Coturnix japonica: one gene and its partner. The protein of the gene in region 2 interacts with the protein of the main gene of each other region in a biochemical or structural test. Links are inferred from orthologs where the notes say so. Each region holds a gene or a part of one and is shown on either strand. Other genes may lie near its edges.

Region 1 (5,333 bases), on a different chromosome or scaffold from region 2:
GGCAGTTGTGAATTAAATTTTAACTTGTCATAATTATTTTTAAATGTATTTATTTTATAAGGATAATGATTTTAGTTTGGCTGTACAATTACTTTGATTGCACTAGATTTCATTCATCTAAAGGTCATTCCTCTAAGCATGGAGAGCATACAGTCTTAATGTGCCATTCTGTACAACCTTACGGGATACCTTCCTTGGACAACTACCAATAGGAAGAACTGCATTATCAACGCAATGAGAAGGCTTAGCCCAGCATACTTATCTGTTACTTGTATTTTACTGAAACAAAAATCAAATTGACTTATTTGGATGGTTTATGACAGCAAGCATGTGGTGTTATTGGGAAACCAGTCAATGGGTCTGAATTAATTCCTTCAACACTTTCCAGTTCTGCCACCCCAAGTGAGATCTGAATGTCAACAGCCCTACAACTACAGATGATAAATCACAGATGCCATTAAAATACCTGCTTGTTTTGTTTGTTTGTTTTAAATGGGCTTGAACATCCTGGAGAAGGTTTCAATCTCACAACTTTTTATTCATATGAAAATACTTCCTGAAAAATTAAGTGTCCTCCAGGTAAGAATGAAGATATCAACAAGTCTGAATTATTTGCTGCTGTTAGGCCTGGACTTGGATCTATCCCTATGACTTGAAGCAAAACTTCAGACTGAAAAAATAAAGTTCAAAGTATGACTGCTTGAGTTAAATCAGGATATCATGTAGAATATTCCCAGTCCAGTTTTGAATCTAAACATAAGACCCAGTTCTAATAATTCTGAGTATCCGTGTATTATTTATTTTTCACTCGAGTGTCTACCTGGGGAGGACTGAAACGAATCAAAGCAAATTGTTTGCTGCCAAAATGACCTCTTACAGTTTAACAATAAAATCAACCTTCTGCTGTGGAACCTGCACATATTTCTATAAAGATAATAAACTACTTTGTGTACACCTAACTCTCGACAAAACAGCTTTTCATAAGCCTTGATTCAAATGGTTTATATTATATTACTGAATTTTCAGTTCTCAAACTTGAATTGTGACAAAAAATACAATTCTTTAAGTTCTGTTGTCCATGTCAACCTATGTCTTATATTACTACTGTTTTACTACTTTGTAACATTTGTAACACATATCCAGACTCTGATATTAAAAGATCTGAAGCTGAAAAAATAGTTCCTAACTTTGGAATTTATGTGTGTGTTCCATGCATAACAGTAGCCAGAAAATGCAGATACAGATCTGTGTAGATCAGGATTAATATTGAAAAAGAATACGGAGAAAAAGCTGTGCCTCCAACATACATTAAACCTACATTAAATATTTGATAAAATAATAAAAAAGCCCTTTATTGCAGCTTTTATTTTTAACTCATTATTCCTTGTTACTGCTAATTGTTGTAGCCTTACAAATAGAGCATTGAAACGTCCCTTTTTCATGAAGTTCTGTCCAGCCTGCAAACAGGAATGTCATCTCAAGAAAATGCACAGAAGTGCAGGGGAAGACCAAGGACTGCAAATGAAAACAGGGTTTAATGAAGGACAGCTGTTCACTTGACCAGAATAGAGAAGGCGGCAGATTTATTTTGTAAATTCAGGCTGGAAGAAAATTTACTAGAAAAAGATAAAAAAAATCTTTGTTCTGCTACAGATGATTAAATTAACTGCAGAAAATTGTAAAAGCTGTTTTTGTAAAGGCTTTTGATTATTAATAGTTATACTGACTCATAACAGCAACACTGCAGTGCTTACTAAGGTAATCTCACTTCTGGTACAATAACTTTCACCAATGATGTGCTTTTTCCTTAAAGGAAGGCGGAGTTACCAGTTAGTGTCTGGGCCATAAATAAGAGGTTCCTATGTCAGGGAAATTAGAAGTCAGTTAACATAAGCAGACTGAGCATTAGAGGGCTTTACTAAACCACCCAAGTCTGCTGAAATTGAAGACGCAGAAGAAATCAGATAGTTTGTAGGAAGTTTAGATATAAAATCAACAGTAAGAAAGCATTTTCTCTTGGCAGACCGATTAGCTGTGCTTAAGGCAGCATGAATCCTGTACTTAGTACCTTGTTGTTTTCAGTGCTTCTGCTGCTGACCCACAGAATTCAGGAGCTGGTGGAGGCGTGCAGCTGTGCCCCTGCTCATCCGCAGCAGCTCATCTGCGATTCTGCTTTAGGTGAGTCATTAATAACGACGTGCTTTGAACTGCTGGTAGGAAATCGAGTGGAGCTAATCTAACTGCCGCATTCTTTTCTGTACAGCTGTAGAGAAATATTTTTAACCATGTGGCTTCGACTCTTAGAGCATTTTGGAACAAAATGACTGCAGACAGCCCTTTTAAACATACGGCTATGGGAAGAAAAATGTGGCAGTAGCTGATCTGTTTTTCTTGATTTTTTTTTTCTGTTTTTTCTTTTCCAGAACATTTTGTGGTTACAGATTGTTGAAATTACTGCACTATTTTAGTGGGCTTTCTTTTTTTCCTTCATAAAAACAACATCTATGTTAGCTCCTAACCTAGAGCAAGCAGCAAAGAATATGTGGACGTCTAAATGTTTACTGCTCACTGTATCTATACTAGACTATTCCATCTAAATACAGATCCACTCTAACTGTGCATATCAACAGTTGTTACAGCGCTCTGGGAAACAAAATGAAGTCCCCAATGACATGTTGAAATATTTGATCTTTGTTCTGCTGCGCTCCAGTATCTGACTTTATTTTCCAAAAATACTTGAGCAGGAAACTGATATGCCTTCACTTGTTTGAATCTGGCTATAGAGTTTCTACACAAATAGGATTTTCCAGTCTTTAGGATGGCTGTATTTCATGACGTTTAATCAGATCTGCGGCTGTCAAAATACTTTTAGAAAGAAACTAAAGATCTCAAAATTATACTGCATGGGGATAGGAAAATGTGTCATTTTGCAGTCTTTTGATTTCATTAGCTCAAGCTGAGGCTGGTTAGCTTCCATCTAGTGTGAACAGTAAATGTAGAACATGAGTTTCCAAAGTGTCACAAAATTAGCATCTCTATGGGGCAGGCAATACCTTCTGCATACTGATTAATTGCTTTTATACTCTGACAGAAAATCTTTGTAGCCATGACAAACTCCAAGCTCTATTTGTGGCCATCAGTTAAATTGTTGTTTAATCTGGTTGTGTTAAGCACTCTTTCACTGAGTTACCTACACCAGGCATTACAAACTTGGGGTTCAGGTGTAAAAGAAAATAAAGTTGCACTTCCAGAAGCTTAACTAAATATGCATACAGTTAATTATGTTAATCTGCTGCACTCCTAGGCATAACAAAATAAGTTTTTCAGCAGATTTGAGAGTTTTCAAAGTAAATAATTCCACAGTATAGAGGAAACTCAAAATACTTGTTACGAGATGTACATACTTCAGGGAATTCATTCTGGCCACTCTAATTAAGACAAGGTCCTTTATATCTATATGTACATATATAATAAATGGTAGATATATACTTTTAATTAGGTTGAAATAAGAAATTGTAAAATAATGCTACTTTATATTGGTAGCATAAGACTTGGTGCTTAAGCTCTCACTTACATGAGTTTTCTTTTAAAAGTCAATTGTACTTTATACCTAAGGAATACTTCCATCATGGATTTCTTTGTTTATCACCCATGTTTCAATATATATTTTTTTTTTTTTAAAAAAAAAAAGATTGACAGATTGTACATAATACATAATGTACATCTATCAAATCAATATTTGTAAACATATTTTGGATATGCATACATATGTATTTGCATATATGTAACACTTAAAGCCTGACCTAAGCATTTAGGGATGAATTCCTCGATTTCTTTTGGATACAGTACATCTTGTAAGCAGATCAAAATGGCTTCAAAGGATCTGCAGAAGACCTGTGGTGCAGTTTGCCCTGCATAAGAGAAACCTCCACTAACCACTTTGGCAAAGGCAGTTTCTCCAGCTCCTGTGCCAGGGCTGGGGCTGTCCTGGGGAAGTGGGCAGCACGAGGCTGAGTTTTCCCACACAGCGCTGCTCCAATGGGAATCAGGGCAATGCCTCTACAGCTGTTCTTCCTTTCTGAAGCAAAGCAGGTTTGAAGCCACACCTGCATCCTTTTTGCACCACTCAGTTCTTAAACCGGAATGGCCATGCTATTAAGTATCCTGTGCAATTGTACACATCAAATTTCTCCTGCTAGTAGTATGAAGAATTTTATACCTACACTTTCCAAGATTTAAGAAGATTAAAACATGTACTTCAAGATTTGTGCCTTAATTTCAACATATCTGTCCTTCCAAAATATCAATAAACAAAGAGATCAGCTCTTCACCTACCAAAATCATTAGTAACTGATCATCAATCCAGCTTCTTACTGAGACTATTCCATCTTTGTCATTTATTTAGTTCATTCATCTGTGTACCCATAGACACATTCAAGTATTTCCTAGCAGAATAAAAACCTGTGAGGATTTTGTGGCTTCACACTCTTAGTAAATACTCAGTGTAAAATACACCTCACCATCAGAGATGGGCTCCACACCGTTTGCATCTTGGAGCTGTCTAAAAAAAAAACCTTTGGACTTCTCCATAGTATGGAAAGATTGTAGTACTTGGCATATAATACGCACTTATATTTTATATTGCTGTACTTATTGTATTGTATTTATATATTTATATTATTGTCCTACCAAATGGAGACAGATCTTATTTGCTTGATAGCAATCACAGAATCACAGAACTAGATATTTATAAACATTAGTCAGATCCCCTCTCAATCTTCTTTTCCCCAGGCTGAACAGACTCAGGTTGCTCAGCCTTTCCTCATACAGGAGATACTTCAGGCCCTTTAGCATCAATGTGGCCCTCTGCTGGACTCCTTCCAGGAGATACCTTTCTATTTTCAACTGGGGAGCCCAGAGCTGGACACAGTATTCTAAATGCGGCCTCACCAGTGCAGAGCAGAGGGGGAGGATCACACCACTCAACCTGCTGACCACACTCTTTTTAATTCACCTTCCTGGCCACACACTGGCTGACATCCAACCTGTTGTCCACCAGACCTTCCAAGGTCCTTCCCTGCAAAGCTCACCTCCAGCAGCTCAGCCTCTAACCTGTACTGGTGCATGCAGTTATTCTTCCCCAGGTGCAAGACTTGATACTTGCTCACATTAAACTTCATCAGATTCCTCCCTGCACAACACTCCCATCTGTCCAGGTCTTACTGAATGGTAGCACAACCTTTCGGTGTAACAGCCACTCCCCACAATTCTGCATCATCAGCAAACTTGCAGAGTGTGAATGTTCTGCCTCTAGAGTGAAAATCAGTGACAAC
Region 2 (5,166 bases):
CTTCTTGAAACAGATGGTTTTAAAGCCTAAGTATAGAGTAATTCTTACCTGAAACTGACATGATAACCAGAAAGCAACTTTCTATGATTCGGGAGAGATAATTTAATATACATATTACAAATATATCTTAAATTATATTGAGTTTATGTGCAACTTTAAAGTATTTTTTCCACAAATAGACAAAGGATGTAGCTGTGGCTACAACTGCATTCACTTTATGTGACTTATCCAGAGGTAGCAACTGTTTGTAGAGACAAAAGCTGAACCATGAGAGGAAAGCTGTTCACTGTAACTCAAGTGCCACTGGAATCATACATAGAAGAATTGGAGAGTTACTTGCTTGCAAAGAAATCCCTGCTCACACACAAATTACTGCAACCCCTTCTTTTTTCTCAGACACTGAGGGCTCCTCCCCATGGCTGTTCAGCCAGTGCCTAAGCATATAGCTGCTGTGCTTTTCAGACAAGCTCTATGGGCAGTAAAAACCCCTGTGAATGTTTTTTTTTCCTGAAGGTCTTGGCCCACGGTTTGCAACCCTTGTCTTTATATAAGGTTCTTCAGTTCACAGGCATAGGCTTTAGTTAGCAAAACAACTCAACATTAGTGTAAGTCAATGAACTGTCAATACCAAATATTTCCAATTAAATATCAAAGTACTTTGAATAAATACCAAACACCAGCAAAGTATTTACTTTTCATTAACAACACTATTTGGTAACAGGAGTTATACCCAGAAACCCTTCGGTTAGAAACATGCAGTGGAAAGCTGTCACAGCCTCACTGCTGATGTACAGCTCAGAGGAACCCTGACGGCTGGACTCACCTTGAATAGAAACTGTTCTGTGACACATTTGGCTGGCCAGAACACAGTTTGCTTTCATGCAGAATTGCCAGTCTCCTGTCTTAAAAAGCCATGAGCCAAGCCCCTAGATTAAGGCTATTCAGCTAAAATAATATTCAGCTTGTATTAACACCTCAAAGCTGGCAGTATTATGAAGGAATAAAAAGGCCAGCCATGATGAAGGCAGTATTTGCACCAGAATTTCAGACATACAGCTGCATCAATGGGCCAAACCCATAGTGCAAGCAGACCTGGAATTCTGTATAAAATCACCCTACCAACCGTTGGGCACAGTTCCTATTTGCTGCATCTTCCAGATTCTCTCTAACTTCATAGAAAAACAAAAGTGACCCACCACCCCTATTGGTGGCAAAGCTTTAAGCTGTCATAAAAGCTGCACCAAGCCCTCAGTGATCTTGTTCAGAGCTCTGGTTATTCTCTGCACAGAGCAGGGCTGGAGTGCTGGTGAGCCCCATACACAGGGACCAACTTGTGCAGCCCAGGCAGGAGATGGACAAGAAGCCTTTGCACCAGCCCATGCCAGGTCTGCCTCCAACTATGCCATCAAAATAGTTACCAAGAGGCGCTGTGTAGGACTGTAACCACATCTGGCTAAAGCAATATGTGGCAAGAAAATAGGGTAAAGAATAACACAAATACTTAGGAAGGAAAATAATGTTTAGGGGTGGCTGTTTTGTTGTTATTTGTTTTCATTTAGAAAATACAAGAGACACTTCGTCTTCAGTATTAAGTCAGGTCTTGCCCTTTGCTGCTCTCTGGCATAACTAAATGCTTCAGTGTATGCAAATAAGGAGAAAATGTGGCTTCTTTCAGCAGTAATAAGTATCTGCCCGTTGCTACCTTAAAATCACAGCAATCACATCTGGTAACTGCCCTTTTCTCATGTTTCCACTAGTTTTCAGACTTCCTCTTGTGGTAGCTTGAGACTGCGCATCTGGATGTTTTAAACATACAAAGGAATTGCTAGAGCAAGCAAAAGAGAAAACGGTGCAGAGAGTTAAGATGCGCAGATAAGCAACTAGTGCACTGTGCAGCTAAAGTAACTGACAGCCAGTTAGAAAGATCTTTTTTCAGAGAGGATTGCAAAAATATAGGCAGAATGAAGACTCACAATGTATTTGGCTTCATTTTTAAAGTACTATTAATCCAAGTCTATCTTTTTAACAAAACTTTAGCTGCACCGTCACCAATCATTAAGTTCCCCGGAGACAGCACACCAAAAACAGACAAAGAGCTAGCAGTGGTAAGTGTTGGTTTCATCTTTGCTTCAGATTTGTTTCGTTTTTCTTTCATAAGCAGCTGTTTCTTTCTTCTTTCAGCTGAGGCTTGGAAATGACTGCAGCATTCTCTCTATAGTCTCTGGAAGTGCTCGCTAGCTAGCGCAGGTATCAGCTTTCAGAAGGAAAAACTAGAGCCAAGTAATGTTTTTCCTCTCTAAAAATTTAAAGGCAGCAAAAATCTTCTTTTTCCTTAAGTCTGAGCGAACAAAATAGTTTCATTAAATCATTGCAACTGTAATCAACAGATTCCAATGGTAAGAGAGGAAAATGTCTAATTTTTGACTTATATCAAATAGAACCGTGAGCTATTGAGATTCACTTACAGAAATCTGGGCTTAATGCATGTATCACACAGCTTTCAGGATCTTGTTTTCCAGACTGTTTACTGTGCATTGCATAAACACAGCTTTAAGGGGCAATTACAATTGAAAGCTGGCTCAAGTTTCAGAAGCCATCGTGACTAGTTCTGACTTCAAAAAAACCCCTCAAAGGTTTAAAGAAATATTCTTTTCAAATTAAGAAAAAAAAAAAACAACCAAAAACCAAAACAGTTTGGATTTCTGAATGTGACATCAGCAAATTATAGCTATAATTCTACAGCATTTTATTCTAACCTCATTTTAAGCCCTGTGAACCTTCATAAAAATGACTTTCAATGGGGAAATCCATTTAAGGGGAGATGGATCATACTAATTTTATCATGTAAATTATAGACATTTCTTCAGCAGTAACTCCATTTTAAGGAAGACTGAGATAACTTATTCTTATTTTAGAATTTGGAGGGTTGGAAGTTGGTTGCTGTTCTTTAGGAGCTGGTGTGCATCTTGGGAAAGCTTGCCAGGCTAACAGCCTGGGGGAGGGTAGAGAGAGAAATTCCAGATGGGAGCTGTGGTGGAAAGTTGAGGAAAAACAGATAAACTGACCCCAAAAGGGCAGTCTCCAGCATTTAACAAGACAAATTCACCAGAGCTTTTGTCTTGGCAGCACAGCAGCCAGGGGGTGGGGGCAGCATGTATGGGAAAGGAAAGGGGAGTCATACTTGTCTAATGGTAATTTAACCATCCTTAAACAATCTATTTTTTTTAGACACAGTTAGGATTTTACTAAATAGCAGCAATCCGCATCTCCCCTCATCTCTGCTTCTTTGGAACAACCTATTTATTATGTGTACTCAGAGGAAAATTACAAGCTGGTTTAAACACTGCAGTTCTTCTTTGTCTTTCTGGTAATATTCTTGGGCAATGTTAACTGGCTACTTTTCTCTCACACTCTCCGTCTGCACAGCCCCAACACTCAGAATCAGAACACAAATTGCTATGTTGCAGCTGGACCCTGTTTCATTAATGGGCTGGATCAAAATTCCAGATCACCACAGCTCCCTGCTGACTCTGGGGAAACTGAATTTTGCAGTCTAGGCCAAGATGTGGTTTACACAGACACTGCATTTTCTTCAAGATTCTCTCCTCATAGAACAGCTGGTTATGTTCATTTTCATCTTCAGTAAAATCTCCATTTTAGGAAGAACTGACAGGAGGGTTAACTTCTTACTTAGAAACATACCAAATACAATTCTCTATTGTGCCTCATTTTCTGTTTTTTTCATTGTCTATCATACTTATAAACCTAAATTGGCAAGAGCAGCATCCTCTTTCGTCAGTAAAGTTCAGTTCTGATGTACAGTCTGTGTTATACCATGGTGTACCACTGGCAAATACAAACAGAAGTGTAAGACAATAAATCAAACTACATGAAAATTATAATTAGGATAACAACAGATTCTCCAAACTGGCTTGTTTATGTTCTTAGTGCCTTTCACATTAAGTCCTAGGCCCCATTTCCTCTGAGTACACAGAAACTTGTTGACAGCAAAGGTGAAACCATTGTGTGTCCATTACTTGCCAGTGTTGCATTCTCTTCAGGAGAATTACCACATCAGAATATGATGTTATAAAAACTAAGCAAAGTCTGTGCTTAGTCAGTAGGTCAGTGGAGAACCTCCTGAAGAAAATGGTGTAACATCCTGATTAAATCTTTTCTGATTCAACTATGAACTATTTCCTATGCAGGGTAAAATGAGGCAATCCGGGACTTAATGTTGATGAAATCCATGTCCAGACAAACTGCAGTCATCAAATGTCATTTCCTATGTTTTGCTGATGTAGAGGTCTTTTCCCTCTTCTTTTGGGTGAAATTCAGTTAACTAATTAGATACACAAAGTAGGGTTTCCCTCAGGAATATTTAATGGCACAAGGACTTAAATGCACACTCAATTTGTCAAGTTTTTTAGAATCTTTGGAAAAAAACAATTCTTTCTTATATTTCTGATATGCTTTACCCTTACCTTATTTATTTGGGTTTCTTACCTTGGATTTGTAGCTAATATTACGGATACAATACCTGAAGGACTTTCGTCCCCATGCTAAAGACAGTTTTGTCATAAAAATCAGTAATCTACAGCATTTCCATCTACCATCTGTGGTAGTGGCATCTCTCAGCCTTGTGCCATCCAGATGACCTACACATCAGTCTGGGGATACTTGCTGTTTGATGCAGCTTTATCTACTCTTTATAGAGAATGTAAATTTAGCAATCCAGAACTGTACCTAGTCTAAACAGTGCAACTGAACCTACCTTTGTAATAGTCCAAGCTAAGGCAGCAGCTTGAAAAAATAATCAAATTCAGTTTAGATCCAAATACTGAATCCAAATGTTCAAAAAAGCCAGCTGTCTTTGTTTTGGATCTGTTAATTCCCAGATAGGAATAGAGCTGATTAAGACTTTACACAGCTGAAGATACAACTGAAAGTTTCATCGTCTCTTATGAGAGGTCACACTTTCCCTTTGACGACAATGTTGTCATGACAGGTTTCACCACATGTTACAGACTGCCAGACTACCAGACATTCTCAGAGGGTCGGTGTCTGCCCAAAGACATTCAGTTATTCTGGCACTCAACACTGAATTTATGAGGGGAAAAAAACAACCCTAAATCCTAAACTGCTCGTGCAAACTTAGTGTGTTCT

The links. The genes of interacting proteins can lie anywhere in the genome.
Region 1: the proteins of MMP2 (region 2) and TIMP4 form a complex in vitro, tested with the Homo sapiens proteins (2 studies listed by BioGRID). The link is inferred for Coturnix japonica from reciprocal best matches to the Homo sapiens genes MMP2 and TIMP4.

Annotation. Positions count from the first base shown.
Region 1 is NC_029527.1:3,151,180-3,156,512, reverse strand, and holds the start of TIMP4 (metalloproteinase inhibitor 4), read left to right. Parts: upstream 1-1,774; 5' UTR 1,775-2,048; coding exon 2,049-2,178; intron 2,179-5,333. UniProt on the Homo sapiens protein: Complexes with metalloproteinases (such as collagenases) and irreversibly inactivates them by binding to their catalytic zinc cofactor. Known to act on MMP-1, MMP-2, MMP-3, MMP-7 and MMP-9.
Region 2 is NC_029526.1:2,835,635-2,840,800, reverse strand, and holds the start of MMP2 (72 kDa type IV collagenase), read left to right. Parts: upstream 1-1,771; 5' UTR 1,772-1,961; coding exon 1,962-2,105; intron 2,106-5,166.